Linked DNA regions of Lonchura striata. The protein of the gene in region 1 purifies or fractionates together with the protein of each later gene. This does not show direct contact. Links are inferred from orthologs where the notes say so. Each region holds a gene or a part of one and is shown on either strand. Other genes may lie near its edges.

Region 1 (7,692 bases):
TGCCACAACCAAAGCAAGGTGAGGTAGAGTCATGCCAGGAGGAAGGGAACCAAAAGTACTCAGGTGTCCATGGTTTACATGTACCACAGTTCTACAGGCAGTACACTGTCTTTATTACTCAGATATTTTTTTAATTTATTTTTCTTTTTTTTTTAATCTTTATTACTTATCTTTATTACTCAGAGATGTAAAACATCAAAAAAGAATTTTAACAATCTCTTAACTTCAGCAAGGTACCCAGGAAGGTTCATAATATTTTTCCTCCAAGGGACATGTAGTTAATGGGCAAGGCTGTTCAGAGGTGACTATTCAGGGCTGTGATGAATGGGATGGAGTGATCTAACCCTACATTCCCTGTGTGCCCTTTTGCCTTCCCACTGTCCCCATCCACTAAGATACACTGTAATGCTTCCTGAATTCCCCAGGCCCCCTACACCCTCTTGCCTGGGTGCTGAAGCAATAACCACACAAGCTGCCTTCCCTTTGGTGGCCACAGTAACCATCTGTACTGACCACAGGAGCTGGAGGCATCATTCAGAGCCACCAGTCATTTCTTCTTGCAGGAGATGATCCTGTTCACTGCTTGCAGTAAACACATTCTCATGGCATTCAGATTTGTGTCTGTAAAAACCTATAATTTCCCTAGAAATACTCATGTACTGTGCAGTGGGGTGAGCTCCAACATGCACCAAGGCTGGGAGGGCATGGAAAATTGAAACATGTTGGCTGAGTACTTTCAGTTAGCTACAGCTGGAGTTTTATTCTCTTGGTTTTTATTCTCTTTGGTTGGCTCATTAGTGAGGGTGGGAGGAAATGATGGGGACACTATACTATCCAGGGTAACTCTGGGATGCTTTCTCATTAGAATCACAGAATATTCTAAGTTGGAAGGAACCCACAAGGATCATCAAGTTCACCTTGAGTGAATGGCCAATACGGGGATCAAAAACAACTTCGGCATTATTAACAGCATGCTCTAACCGACAGGGGTTTAAATATAAAAATATTGGGCACATACAGTCTCCAGCATTGCTGAAGGGACGATCAGAGAAATCCTTATGGAAAAAGGTGGAAGAGGAGTTCTGTCTGCTGAACAGGGCCTTTTTCCCTGGCTGTGTGGGAAGTAGCAGAACACTGCCCTCTGATGGAAATACGTGTGCAAGAAATGAGTACATCCAGTTAACGTGAGAACTCCTTTTCAATTTCAGGCAAAGTGGGCAACCAACAGTATGATCTATATTGCATATCACTTACCTAAAGCCACATTTAGGTGTTTTTAGCTTAAATTGAACAGAATATTATGTATGTCCTAAATTGGGCAGAATTCACTATAGAAGGAAAATTATCCTGGCCCATTGTTGTTCTCCCACTGACAATGAAGGATTTAAGTTTTAAAATACTGATGTGCTAAAGTGCAAATAACAGAGGAATGTAGGGTGTTCAATGTATTATTCTAGAAGAAAATACAATCTATTTTTCAGAAGAAAATATAAGTTATGTAAAAATATACAGAGTATTAAATTAAACCATGTTAATTATAAAAATGTGTCAATATTCTAGTTCAATTCTTTTCTTGATTAAATAAATTGGAAGCAATTATTCCAATACACTTGAAAATATTTTTTAAATTTAATATTTTCGAATTTATATTTTTGAATGTTTTAAAAATTGAATTTATTTGCATTTCACAGTCATGGAATCACAGAACTGGTCAGATTGGAAGGCACCACAGTGGGTCATCTAGTCCAACCTCCCTGCTCAAGCAAGGTCATCCCATAGCAAATTGCACAAGATTGCATCCAGAAGGTTCTTGAATATCTCCAGTGAGGGAGACTCCAAAACCCCTTGGGCATTCTGTTACAGTGCTCAGTTACCTACACAGTAAAGATGTTCTTCTTCAGATTGAAGTGGAACTTTTTGTGCATCACTTTATTCCCATTGCCTCTGGTCCTATTGCTTGGCACCAGTGAGCCATTGCCTGGCTCCAATTCCCCTTTAGATATTTGCATACATTGATGAGGTCTTCTCTTAGTCACCCCTTCTTCAGGAGAATTTTCTTCTAGAGAATGTTCTAGCTCGAGAATATGTTCAAGAATATTCTAGTTCAATTTTTCATGATTAAATAAATTGAAAACAAATATTCAAAGTCCTTCCTAAATTACTGTAGATTTTACTTTTTTTTAATGTATAAAGATATATGGGCATTTCACCGTCAATTAGATGGAAGAGGTTTCTGTCTGAAACATGTAATTTCCCTTTCTCTGCTTGTGCCCAGGTGTCGTTCAGATGCAGTCAGTCTGGGACTGAGGGCTGCTTTGCTCACCCCAGGGTTCACTTTGGTGCCAGGTGGGTCAGTGAGCTCCCAAGTAGCAACACAGATCGGGGTGTGACCTACTTGAGAGCAGCTCTGCTGAGAAGGACCCGTGAGTTTTGGTAGGTGACAAGTTGATCATGAACTGGCAGTGTGGCCCTGTGGCCAGGATGACTCAATGGTATCCTGGGGTGCATCAGGAACACTGTAGCCAGCAGGCCCAGGGAAGTGGCAAAAGCCGGGACTTCTTATAATATGAGGGGGTGCTGGACGGGACAAACGCAGGTCAATCCAATATGGTTAAAGCTACGTTCTCCCTCTATTAGTGAGAAGATGGCAGTTTATATACACTTCCATATAGTTTACAGTTTACAAAGGCACTCTCATTGGCAAGCTAACATTGTTTACCTTTGCCTTAAGGCGGTCAGGCTTTTCACACTGCAGCTCTACCCTAATTCACGCTCTAATAGCTCATTACTTTGTAGTTACCTTAACATAATTTCTAACTGCTAGGCCCCACCAAGGCCGCTTATCAGGGGCCTAGTCTGAAGGGTAGCTCAGTTCTCACTCCAGACATAAATCGTGCCCTCTCTCTCTCAGAAATTCTGCAACAGGTGTCCCTCCTAGCGAGGCCACATCTGGAATGCAGGGTGCAGTGCTGGGCTCCTCAGTACAAGCAAAACAAGGAGCTGTTAGAGAGGGTCCAGTGGAAGCCACAAAGATGGTGATGGGACTGCAACACTTGTCCTAAGAGGAGAGGCTGAGGGAGCTGGGCTGGCTTAGTCAAGAGAAGACTGAAAGGGATGTCATCAATACATACAAATGGAAAGTTGAATATTAATTAGCAGTTCCCTGGCAGTCAGGAGGGCCAGCCATGTCCTGGAGGGCATCACCAGCTGGGAGGGGATTGTCCCACCCTGCTCTGCACTGGGCTGGTGTCACTTCAAATCCTGGGAATAGTTTTGGGCATCACAATATAAAAAAGACATTGAGTTATTAGAGGCTTCCCAAGGAAGTTGTGGGGATGGTGAAGGGTCTGAAGGAGAAGCCTTATGAGGAGAAGACTTATGCAGACTCATGATGTCACTTGATCTTTTCAGCCTGGAGGAGACTGAGACCACCTTATTGTGGTCTTGAGCATCCTTATGAGGGGAAGTAGACAGGTGTGAGATAAGTGGAAGATCATTTTGTTCACTGTGATATGCTCGCTTACCTTGGTTTGCATAAGAATGTACTGGTGTGTCTTTGAAATGCTTATTTGCTTACAAGGTGATAAGGAGGTTGAGATTAGAGTCCTAGGTGTGTGTATCTGGTCTGCTTGCTGTATCTCAAAAGAAGAGACTTAGAAGCTATCACAACGACCAGACTCAGACTACATCTGGAGAGTCACGCCTGCAAGGAGAAGGGGGGGGATAAAAGGAAGGTTGGGACAGAACATTTTTGCGCGCCGTTGGTGGAGCAGGAGACTCCCCGGCCGCCCAGCGCTGTGCTTTGCCTGCCTTACTCGCTTGCTATTTTCAATAAAATTGCTTTATTGGATTAAGACACTTCAAATTGCCGTGTCACAATTTATAACAGGTGGGTGCCAATCTCTTCATTCTCGTGATGAGTGGAAACATCATGAAGCTGAGTCAGGGGAGGTTTAGACTGGATATTTGAAAATGTTTCTTCACCCAGAGGGTGGCTGGGCACTGGAACAGGGTTCCCAGGGAAGTGGTCATAGCATCAGCCTGACAGAGTTATAGAAGAGTTTGAAAAATGCTCTCAGGCACAGGGTGTGACTCTTGGGGTGTCCTATGCAGGGCCAGGAGCTGGATCCTGATGGGCCCTTCCAACTTAGCATATTCTGTGATTCTCCGATTCTAGAAATATCTCAAAGATTGGTGCCAAGAGGATGTGCCAGATTCTTTTTAGTGGTGCCGGCAACAGGAAGAGGAGCAATGGCCATAAAGTGAAACACAAGAGAGGAGAGCTCCTTCCCGCCGAGGGTGGCACGGAACAGGCTGTCCAGGGCGGTGGCGGATTCTCTTTGGACACGTTCCAAACCCGCCTGGGCGCGCTCCCGCGGCACGGGCAGCAGGGCCAGGGCAGCGGGGCCGCGCCCCGCGCTCGCTCCCGGCGCTGAGGCCCGCGCCGCCCGGCCCCGCCCCGCGGCACTGCGCCTGCGCGCGTCCGCGGAGTCCTTGAGCGGCCGGGGCGCGGCGGCGGGGCCGACATGCAGCGCTGGGGCCGCGTCTCCTGCGCGCTCGCTCGGGTATGGCACCGGCGGGGCGGCGAGGCGAGGGCAAGGGAGGGGGTCAGGGACGGCAGCCGCGCCGAGCAGCTCGAGCCTGGGCTTTCCTCAGAGCCCTCAGCCCGCCGGGGGCGTGCGTGAGGCGGGCGGGGCCGGAGCGGCGCCTGAGGCGGGCGCGGGCCTTGGCCGCGCTCCCTCCCCGCTCCGCTGTCCCCTCGCCTCTCGGCCGGGCGGAGGGGGCGTGGCGGCCCCCAGGGTCCCGGAGCGGCAGGGACCGGCCTCCCGCTGTCGGTGCTCCTCCCGGTGTCCCGGCCCGCGGGAGGCCGCGGCCGTGCTGGCTGCAGAAAGCGCCGCCGGCAGCCGGCCCCGGCGTTGGGGCTGCGGTGCTGCGGACTTCGCAAATGCTTCCAGGGACATCCTCTACTCCAGTTACAGGGTGATCGGCCCTCGATGTGTTTGTAGCGCCTGCTCTGTGCTGTGCCATTACTTTTGCCCTCCTCAGCTTCCTATGAGATACAGCTGCCTTTTCATAGGAAGTGCCTGAAGGGGTTGCTTACAGAACAAGACTCTACATAAACTCCCGTGGATATCTAATTTACGTCATTATGTGGTTTGAGAGTTGGAAAGAGTTGAAAGTTTTGTAGTCAGAGGCAGCCTGAGGTGTGACTGACCTGAGAACAGGTGTGATGACAGACTGAGGTGGCAGAACAACTTCTGCCTCTTGTTCCAGTCAGTGCCCACTGTGCTTCAGTCCTGCTGTTCCTGTTTTGGTTAGCTGGTGACAGTAACTGTATGTTCACCTCTGTGTGGCTGAATGTTTATTTTCTCTGAAGAATAGACATAAACTTGTAAAACCAAGGGGTTCTTTTTATTTTTTTACCTTTTAGAGAAGCCATTTTGATCGAATTCATCATGGTCTTCAGGGAGTTTGTGCAGTACCACAAAGGTCCTATGCTGATCAAGGTAATTTCTTGTGAGAAACCTTTTTTGGACAAGAAAACCCCACCAACTCCCACAAAAAACAAAACAATACTTCAAACTTTGAAATCAGCCTTCGAGGTGAAATCCATGTCAGGATGGAGATTTAGACGAAAACTGGTTTATTTGCATAATGTGATTTCAAGGTAAAGCTGTAAATACAAGCTGAACTTCACCATCACTGTTCTTATTTTAATTAATGTTCTAAAAGAGATTGTGGTTACAAGATATGAGCTAGGTACAAAGTTCATAGCTGCCACTGCTTTATAATCAATAGCTTCCAGAGATACCTATTGCAGCTGTGTTTTCCCCTTTATAAATTTGTGGTATATAGTAAGCATTTATGTTTGGTGCTAAACATCGATAGAAGCTATGTTGGAAAAAATGTTACAGTGAACTATCAAGACAGCTTGAGTTAAGTTCTTAAAGGCTTTAGAGCAAGAGGGATGGGAAATTCAGTTTCTTGATGTCATTTTACATTATTTTCCTTGTGAAATTTAAGACTGCTTATTTTTCTTGTGGAATGAATACCTTTACACAACCTTTCCCTGTCCAGAAAGTTACTTTCACATATGAGGTGTAGCTTCTTTATCTAATCCTATTTCATTAACTTGCATAATTCTTAAGATGCAGTTATTTTCTGAAAAAACAGTAACTCGGCTGTTCTCTGTTTCAGTTGATGCTGATGTCACAGTTATTGGCTCTGGGCCTGGAGGATATGTTGCTGCTATCAAAGCAGCTCAGCTTGGGTTTAAGGTGAGACCTGACTCAGATAGCAGAATACTCATCCAGGTGAACTTGAAAGGTGTCTGTGTGATACTGTAATCCTTCTGTCACATCTTGGGCCACCAGATGGTGTAGACATCTTTGCTAATCTTTCCTTACCTTGCTTACCTGCATTATGCAGAATTTGAAATGGAGGTCTGACTATATTACTCTCTATAGCCCTGCTACTGACGGAGCTTACTTTTGGTTGGAACTGATAATTGATGTGAACTTATATTCTTGTGAAAGAGAAGGTGGCAAAACAGTGCTAAGAAGGAATTTTTCTCTCAACAAAGGGAAAAATAAGAAGATCATGACTGACAAAAAGACCAGTGGAAAACTATTCTGAAGAACAGACTGAGGGAACTCAGAAGGGGAAAAAGCCATATTCAACTGATAAGCTTTTTGACTGTGATTAGTGGAATTCTACTGCCATGTGAGAACTTTAGAGGCAAAAATATGTGTAGAAATACTATAGTATCTTAGTTACATTTATTTGTGTTCATCTCTGTTGTTCTGCCTGTTGTCTTTGAGCACCTTTCAGAAGAGGCAGTTGGTGTCTGATATGTACTAGTGGTGTGTCATTTAATTAAGTATTGTGAGAGTTGTATGTGTATAATATATTTAAAATCTTTTTAAACTTACAAAAATACAGAACGTGACTTCAGGATTTTTTTTTGCCTTCACTTTTTAATATGAGACCAACTGACACTCTTGGCACTGCATTCTTGTTCTTATAATTATCTGGAACTCTGAGAAGGTGGTGCTAGCAGTCTTGGGCATGTTTCTGCTGCTTGGTATGTCACAATGTTTCTGAATTACCTAAAATAGACTTCATGACAAGTTAGCTGGTTTGACCACCTGGTAAGGACAAGAACTCCTGGTGATGAGTTCCAGTGAAGCACAGGAATGGGGGGCCCATGCAACATGTAGTCTTCATCTTTCAGTATTTTCAGGGCTTGGCTGTACAAGGCCTTCAGCCACCTGATGCATCATAGAATCACAGAATGGTTTGGGTTGGAAGGAATGTTCAAGCTGGCCTTGTTCCAACTCCCCTGCCATGGACAGGGACACCTTCCACTAGACCATGTTACTCAGAGACCCTGAGCATTCAGGAGCACCTTCCACTAGACCATATTTCTCAGAGACCTTGAGCATTCAGGAGCTTCTTTGGGCAACCTATTCCTGTGCCTCACCACCCTCACAGTAAAGAATTCCTTCCTAAGAGCTGATCTAAATCTACGCCCTTCAGCTTAAAGCTGTTTCTGTCATTAAATGTCCTTGTGAAAAGTCCTTCTCCAGCCTTCCTGCAAACCCCCTTTAGATGCTGGAATGCTGCTGTAAGGTCTCTCCAGAGCCTTCTCAGCCTGTCTTCATAGGAGGGCTGCTCCAGCACTGTGATCAA
Region 2 (8,017 bases), on another chromosome or scaffold:
GCCTCCTCCACTCCACACACCTCCAGGCCACTTCTCCTGGGAGGCACTTTGTGTGGGCTGCTCGTGAAAGTGGCACTGTCCTTGTTCAGTCTGTCTTCATGCTTTCCAGGCAGTGGCTGCACTTTCTCTGAATCTTCCTGCGTTTGGGCAGCATTCTCAGAGTCACAGACTTGGTAGAACTTCTCCTGAAGCCACCTCAACTGCTGCTCTAAAAAGCAGAGCTGCTCTTTCAGCTGCTGGCAGCCTGTCGCATGGGAACTGCCCCCTGTGGGAGCCACTTGTCCAGCTGCCCCCATGCCCTGCTGGGGCATCCTTGGCTTCCTCTTGCTCTCCTGGGGCATCTCACCACCCCTTTCCCTCTCATGCCTAAAGGCTGCCTCCCGGCTCGTGTCAAATGCCTGCGGGGTTGGTGGGAGGCTCATGCCCTGGATGATGCTCTCCACCCTGGCCCGCTTGGCTCGTAAGTGCCGGTCACAGAGCTGCTCCCGTGGGTGCTGGTTGGAGAGCTGGTCCCCATCACCAGCACAGGGCATGGGAGCTGGGGCACAGCTCCTGGGGAAAGCCAGGGGTTGAGCTTCTTCTCCAGGACATGCACCACATTTGTAGCCATGAGGCAGGGCTGCTGCCTGAGAGGAAGTGAAAAGAATGGTGGGATCCAGGTTCCTGCCAACCATTGTATGGCTGAGCTGTGGTATCAGGGATGCACTGGGGGAAGGCAAGAGAGAATCAGTCTGGAAACAGGGCTCCAATTTCAGCTCCTGGCCATGCCCTGAAGTGGCACAGTCTCTATCCTGCGCAAAGCCAGTCCTGCTGTCCATCATATTTTCTTCCTGCCTGGACAGACTGGCAGATTTCCCAGGTGTTTGATGTTTCTGCCTGCTAGTGATATGGAACTGCAAAAAGAGCGAGAAACAGGACCTCATACAGCAGTTTCCCAAACACGGGGCCAGAGATTTTTTTTCTCCCAGATTTCCATGGCATCCATGCTCCCCTCCAAAAACTATTTCACCAGGGAATGACCAGGAAGAAACCTTCAGGTACTGCAAAACCTGTGGGCAGACTGTCAGATGTCACACAACAGCAGCAACACCCTGGGCACCACCACACCTCCCACCTACCAGCCAGGCATTCATCATGTCTGGAGTACATTTCACCTACTTTGAGCCTGGCAGTGCCTGGCAGTACAAACTTCCCCCATCACCAGCTGCATCTGCACCAGAGGCATTTGGGGAAACTGCCCTCTGGGCCTGTGGGCTCTGGCATGAGGGCAGGGAGCACCAGGCAGAGCCCTCTGCCACGTACACCTGGGCAAAGGGGTGGGTTTGGGTGCTGCTCCTGGGTGTTGGCAGAGCACAGAGGAGCGGCTGCATCCTTGGTGAAGACATTCACAGCACACAGCCAGCTAGGCCATGGGTCCTGCTGGCTTCTGACGGTCCCAACACTTGCCAGCAGAGCCCCCAAGCACGGGGATGGGTGGCAGCACTTAGGGGCTGGGCCAGCACAAACAGGCTGGAGAAGGAGGGCACAGAGAGGGTAAAAGTGCAATGTGACCTGCTGTGAGCAGGATGCATCGAGATGTTCAGGCTAATACAACATGGGCTTCCTAAGTGCTTGGCTAAACACTGAATAAAAGAAATGAGGATGGGGATTATCAGGGAAGAGAAAAAATACTGAGCCAGCAGCCCCAGGCTTAAAATTGTCATACTGGCTCCAAGTACAGATTCACCCCCTCTGCTCATTCCCCACTTGCACAGCTTTGCAAAAGAAGGTGTAAAATATTGTATCCTGGTCAATTGCACAGTAACTGTCCCTGTGGGATGTTTCTTCCTTATCCACCTTAATTAGCAGTAGCTTTGCACCACTTATTAGGACAGCTCTTGTCTTTTCCAGACACCTTTAAAGTCTGATATTCTTTTGCTATTCCCAGAAATGCCTCATCATTTTCAGCACCATCAGTCTCCTGTCCCTGTAACTGCTCTGTGCCAAGTCCTCCAGGCAGTGTAGAAAATGGGTTTCTTCTCAGGGGTTTTCAGCAGGTTGCCTTTCTTCAAACAACCATGAATTCCAGGCAGGTGCCTGGGAGAGCTCTACCTTTTGCAGAGCCATAGTCTTGACAAACCAAGTATTTTCTGGGTTATCTGACACCACATGTTGATCTGTGTTGTCTCCCCATCTGTCCTGACCACTGGGGTTTCATTTTCCTAAGAGTCTGCTGTAGAGTATTTCAAACTGCTCAGTTTATCCACAGGCAGCACAAGGCTGGGATGCCAGCAGCTCTCAACATCCTGCCTTGCCCTTGTGTTATAAATTTCACCATTGCCTGCAGCTGCCTCTGAGCCTGCCATCTGCACCCAACAAAGTCACACAGCAAACACATTACAGTTATAGATTCCATCCAACCTTAATCCTTTCCTCAATGGTGTGGTCCTGTAATCTCACTTGTTTTTCTATAGAAACACCTTCTTTTGACATTTGCTCACAATTTCTCTCTGTGTGTTGTGATGTGCTGTGCTCAACAGCAAAGTCAGGAGCTTACCTGTCCCCTGGGCTGGGGCTTCCCAGCCCCCTGGAACCTGGGTGATACACCCCTTTCAAGCAGATCGAGTCAGAGCTGGCAAGGTGACTTCTACTTGCTTAAGGTTTCCAGCACCACTGCCTTTTTTCTGGAGACTGGGAGGGAGGGAGCCGGGCGTGCTGTCCCAAGCCATGGCAGCCCGCTGTGCGTGGCCTTGGCTCCGGTCACAGCATCCCCGGCACCGCAGGACCAGGAGGCGCTGCCTAAGCGAACTGCGCCTGCTGATGCAGCTCTTTCCACACGGAGTTAGCAGGTGCGTGCTTTGGTTCCCACTCTTACTCACAGCTTTCACTTAGTGCCACCCTCCAGAACACTAAAAAGCAGCCGAGACTCCTCCTACCTGAAGAGAAAGACAGGAACGAAACGCAGATGCTGAGAAGACGAGGGCAGCGTGCCTTGTCCAGAACTGAAGCCACCCGTCATGGGCTCCCTGGGCGCTCCTGGGTGGGCCAGCAGCCCGGAGCAGCGAGAGCAGCGAGCTGTCCGTGCAGACGGCGATCCCCCGAGCCGTCCCCGCCGCCCATCCCCGGTGTGCCGCCGTGCCCGCGGTGCGCGGGGGCAGCGCCGGTCCGTCCTGGGGCCTTAAAGAGGGAGTGGGAGGCTGGAGGCAGCCAACCAGCTGGGAACGACTTCTGAATATGCAGATGGACACCCAGGAGCTGATGTCCGACGCCACCTTCCCTGCTGGCTCCCGCACTCATAGCCCCTGAGCCAGACAGGCAAGGGCTATCGGGCGCCGAGCTGCTGGCTACCCAGGTGGGCAGAGGCCCAGAGCAGCAATTTTCCCCTGGAATCTGGCCGGAAGCCCCATTCAGGATAGTGAAATGTTGGTGAGACATGCAAATACACCAGGCTGACAAGCAGTGCCACAAGCACAAGGAAGGAGCTGGCCCAGATCCCACCAGCTACCCATCTTCCATGGAAAGTGGCCAGGCATTTCCCACATCCCGCACTCTGGGGGCGCAGAGGCAATTTGGCTGTCCTGGAGGTCTGCAGCACAGGACACGGCCAAGAAATGGGACAACACAGGAAAAGCAGCAACACAGAGTCCCTCGCTTGTCGCAGGGTGCTTTACAGAGAGCCCAGCAGAGCTGGCATCACTCCCAGCTGAGCACGTCCTGACCCAGCCCCAGGACAAACCTACCTGCCCCAGCAGCACATGTGGCTGGCAGAAACTTCTCGTGCAGGAGCTGGGGTTGGGTGGGCAAAGTCTAGCCATGCATGCCACTCCTGGGGCTTTATCTGCTTTGCTTCCACATGCTAACTGAGCACAGCAGTGCTTAGTGTATTCACTGTGTAGGCAGGAGGCCGTGGTTAAAGGCAGTTGACATCAGGTGGTCAATATTGTTCAAGGATATTAGCCTTCAAAAGACAGATCATAGAGAAATCCCTGGCAGAGAGCCTTTCTGGCTCAGTTATCATTTATTAGAGCAGTCAGCTCATCCTCAAAGCCTCAGAGACTACCCCCTGTTGATTTTTATTCAACCTCTTTCCTTTGAAAATGATCTCATATTTCGAAGTTTGCAGTCAACCATTCATAAATTATTAAGCAGTGGCTAAATTAAGCACATGTGCATAACCCAGACTTGGCTCCTTGAGAGATACCTGGTGCCAGACAGCCCTTTATAACTATCCCAGGCTGATTCTCAGAATCTGTAAATGGGTTCCTTGGGTTTTCTTCCACCTGTGGTTCCCTGCCTGGGAGCAGGCAGAAAACAGAAGCTAGCTGGGGAATTCTCAAATGTTTTCAACATAGAGAGCACACCTGAGGAACAGGGCTTACTTGTGGACTCATTTTCCTGTTTGCCATGGTGAGATGACCTCATTGCCCGTTTCTAACCTTGTGGCATCCCACTGGGTGATGCTTGTGGCAACACCACCCCACACGAGAACAGTCCCATGGTTTGCCAAGGTGGGCAGGCAAACCACGGGTACGGCTGTCCCGCAGTGACCCAGAGCTGCTTCAAAGAACAGCGTCACAAAACGGCATTCTTCGTAATGCACAGGTTATTTATTACACATATACTATTACATATCGTAACATCGATATATCCATATACGTGGTTATATCAATATATGTAATGCATAGCTATTTCATATGCATGTGATCTATAAGTAATAGTATTTAATATATATCATACAGGACGCATTAACACCTGTATTATTACACACACGGTAACACACAGGAATATCGTGCGCAGAGCCTCGCCCCCGGCCCGGGCCCGGCCCCCGCCCGCCATGGTCCCGCCCCGGCCGCCCCCCCGTCCTGGGGCGGTTGGTCCGGCCCCCCGCGCTTCCGCCGCGCGCCGGGCCTGGTTCCGGTGTCCGCCCTGCGGCCCCTCCCGCCGCCGCCGCCGCCGCCGCGATGGTGCCGCTGTGGCGGTCCCGCTGCCTCGGCCGCGCGCTGGGCCGCTCGCTGCGCGCCCTCCGGCAGGTACGGCCCGCGGGCAGCGGCCGCGGGGAGCGGGCGGCGAGGGAGGGCGGCGGCCGTGCGGGCGAGGTCGGCGGCGCCAAGGGCACCGGGACGCGTCCCCTGCTGCCGGGCGCTCCGCACCGCCGCCCCGGGGCGCGGCAGGGCCGGGCACGGGAAGGGCCGGCGAGGCTGTCCCCCAGCGGGGGCCGCGGTGGCGCGGCGCTGCCCGTTCCCCGCGGGTGCCGCTGCCCCGCGGGCAGGCCCGGCCCCGCGGGAAGGGCGCGGCAGCGGCAGAGCCGGGCGGCGGGAAGGGCTGGCGGGAAGGGCTCGCGAACGGCGCCGCGCTCGGGCTCCGCCGGCCCGCCCGTCAGCGGCATCTGAGGCCTCGCTGCTGGCAGCCACCGGCCTGCGCTGGCAGAGACCCCCGGCCGGGGCGCGCCGCGCGGGACCGGCAACAACCGGCGTGCGGTTTGGTGTTTGAATCCTGTGCTCGGTTTTCAGGGCAGGCGGTGGTAGCCTCTGCTGGCTGCAGCGTGGGCTGACAGCGCCCAGCAGCTGCTTAACCCTGGGGCTGCCCTTGGCCAGCCGGGTCCTGTGTCCTGCTGCTCACACCTTCCATTTCAGCTTCATGTGCACACACATGTTTGTGCATACCTACGGCATGAGAAAGATCACTTCTCTTCCAGTGACCAGCTGGAGCCTTCCAGCATGAGACTTGGTTTTAGACATGCTGTAAATGTAGGCAAGCGTTGACAACCAGTTGTAATGTACCGACACCTTTGTGTGTATACATGTAAAACTGTGTTATGAACAACTTACAAGTAACTGTATAGTTACAGTTTGTTACAGATATATTAGAGAAAAATTGGTTATAATGCAGTTTAAACAAGCCTATTAAAGTGGCATTTTAGCAATATTTAACCTTTGTCAGCTCTCAGTGGTGTTGTGTAATTATAAAGAACGGGAAGAAGTCAGATGGAGTATTCAAACCTTTTACAAAACTAGTCTGAAAATCAGGAGGTTTTAGGCTGAATGCTAGTTAACCTGTTAGATATACTGAAAGAGTTATAGTAGAAGTTTGCTTTCCATTTGAACAGCAATATGGGAAGTAAATTTTTATTATGTAAAACAGGCTTTTTGGAGAGATAGAAAAAAATCCCAGAACTTGGCAAACCTCTGATGGCAGAAGTGAGAATGGTAGACATATACAAAATTCAGAAGTGGAGGATTGAACGGGGGAAGAGTGGAGTCAGTGAGGGTGAGGAAGGGTTGGCTGGGTTTTGGCTGTCTGTAAAAGAAGAAAAGGTTCTGAATTCATATTAAGTAGAAACCAGGAATGTGTATCAATAGCTTGTAGCACATAAGAGTTGGGGCAGGAGCAGGCAGACGTAGAAGGCTATGTGAAAAAGTCCAGAGAAGAGCTGGTCTGGAAAAGATAGATTTGATCAGGAGCTGCGTAAAGTGCTTTGAGAATCAAATCCTTCTGTTTATGGGCAGGAGTTCATAAAGAACTTTTTCTTCCCTGTTTGATCCTCCCCTCATGCTGGAGGAGTTCTGAGCCTGTTGTCTTAGTAACAGCGTCCACCACTCAGCATGATCTCCATCCCATCTTGGCACCTGCCCTCCCATGCTGTATATAATTGTTTTGATGCCCATGAAAGCCATGCAGTGGGGTTTTTGTGTGGAGCAGGAGTTTGTGCTCATCCTTGTTAGAGCAGCAGCTGCTTTGCTCTCAAGAAGCCATGGCTGGAGAACCAATTTCTGCTTTGCCTGTTGTTGGAGCTGCACAGCACTGGCCTTCTGGTTTGCCTCTGTTCACATGAGCTGCACTGTCACGTTCATCAGATTCCTTACCTGAACTGGTCCCTCGCTGTTGGTATACAGGCTGTCGCTTTAGCTGATGTATTCCATCCTTTGTTTCAGTGTGTAGTGACCTACTGGAAGGTGATGGCTCCATAAAGGTGTGGCCTGGGACCATGCATGCCAGGGTCACTTTGACGTAGTAACACTTATAAAAACGATTCTGAGAAGTCATGTGAAACAAGAGGGAAATATTAATCACTTGCTACATGAGTCACTGGCTAATTAGACCAAGATTTCTTTCCCCAAGTGAAGCCTGTCTTTTTAAACTGACCCAAAGTGCCAAAGCCACGTAGCAAAACTTAAATATTTCCATTCTCACTGAAAAAGCTCCAGTAGAAGGCAGAGGGCAGATTTAGCCAAGTGATCCAGGAAGAGGTGCAGTCAGAAAGATTCCTTCAGGGAAAAATGGAACAGGAAGCAGCCCTGTAAGCAGCCCTGTCCTGTGTCTCCTGAAGCTGCATGTTTATCTCAGAGGTACTGTGGTTAAGAGATAGGCACACAGCAGTTCTGCAGGATGTAATTCAGAAAAATCACAGTATCTTTTATTAGTGGCTTCCTCCTCACATTAAGCCCTTCCCCTAATTTCTTAACCTTAAAGGCAAAGGATAGAGTGATACCAATTTTTTCCTTAATTTTGCTACCAGATACCACTGGTGGAAGAGAGCTGCAGATGTATTTTCTCCCAGCAATTTATTTTAGGACAGACCTTCTAAATTTTCTTTTTTGTTTTATCTCCACAGTAAACTGGTCCTGAGCAAATAAAATTGTCTGGTTTTGCATCAGTCTGAGGCTGTTCCTTTCTTAACAATTTATTGTCTGGTGTTCTAGGAATGCCTTTAACCACTTTTTTTAATAAAGCACCCAGGGAAACATTAATGGATAGAGGGGAACTCAGGTTGCTTGATACTCAATTTGTGATTGACTCTATGCTATCTTGGACACTACAGAAAGTGAGAAAAATATGATCAATACAGAGTGCTGAGGATTGTGGTGCTCTAGAGAGCTGACCCAGTGGAGGGCTGACCCACTTAAGTTGGAGTTTGTCTTACTGATCCTGGCTTAGAGCTGGCTCTACACAAACCAGATCTGAGTTAGCAGGGACCAGTGCTGCACCAGGGTTAGTTATTGTTGCATTCCAGATGACTCTACAAAGTCTGCACAGTGCT

The links.
Region 2: the proteins of DLD (region 1) and DLST purify together in Homo sapiens (affinity purification with mass spectrometry; 3 studies listed by BioGRID and IntAct, counting the BioPlex papers as one, with this or other methods). This does not show direct contact. The link is inferred for Lonchura striata from reciprocal best matches to the Homo sapiens genes DLD and DLST.

Annotation. Positions count from the first base shown.
Region 1 is NC_134607.1:59,081,743-59,089,434, reverse strand, and holds the start of DLD (dihydrolipoyl dehydrogenase, mitochondrial), read left to right. Parts: upstream 1-4,467; 5' UTR 4,468-4,526; coding exon 4,527-4,565; intron 4,566-5,431; coding exon 5,432-5,507; intron 5,508-6,198; coding exon 6,199-6,278; intron 6,279-7,692. UniProt on the Homo sapiens protein: Lipoamide dehydrogenase is a component of the glycine cleavage system as well as an E3 component of three alpha-ketoacid dehydrogenase complexes (pyruvate-, alpha-ketoglutarate-, and branched-chain amino acid-dehydrogenase complex).
Region 2 is NC_134608.1:23,259,578-23,267,594, reverse strand, and holds the start of DLST (dihydrolipoyllysine-residue succinyltransferase component of 2-oxoglutarate dehydrogenase complex, mitochondrial), read left to right. Parts: upstream 1-4,906; 5' UTR 4,907-4,940; coding exon 4,941-5,009; intron 5,010-8,017. Other genes in the region: PROX2 (prospero homeobox protein 2), read right to left, coding at 1-1,049, 4,750-4,815. UniProt on the Homo sapiens protein: Dihydrolipoamide succinyltransferase (E2) component of the 2-oxoglutarate dehydrogenase complex. The 2-oxoglutarate dehydrogenase complex catalyzes the overall conversion of 2-oxoglutarate to succinyl-CoA and CO(2).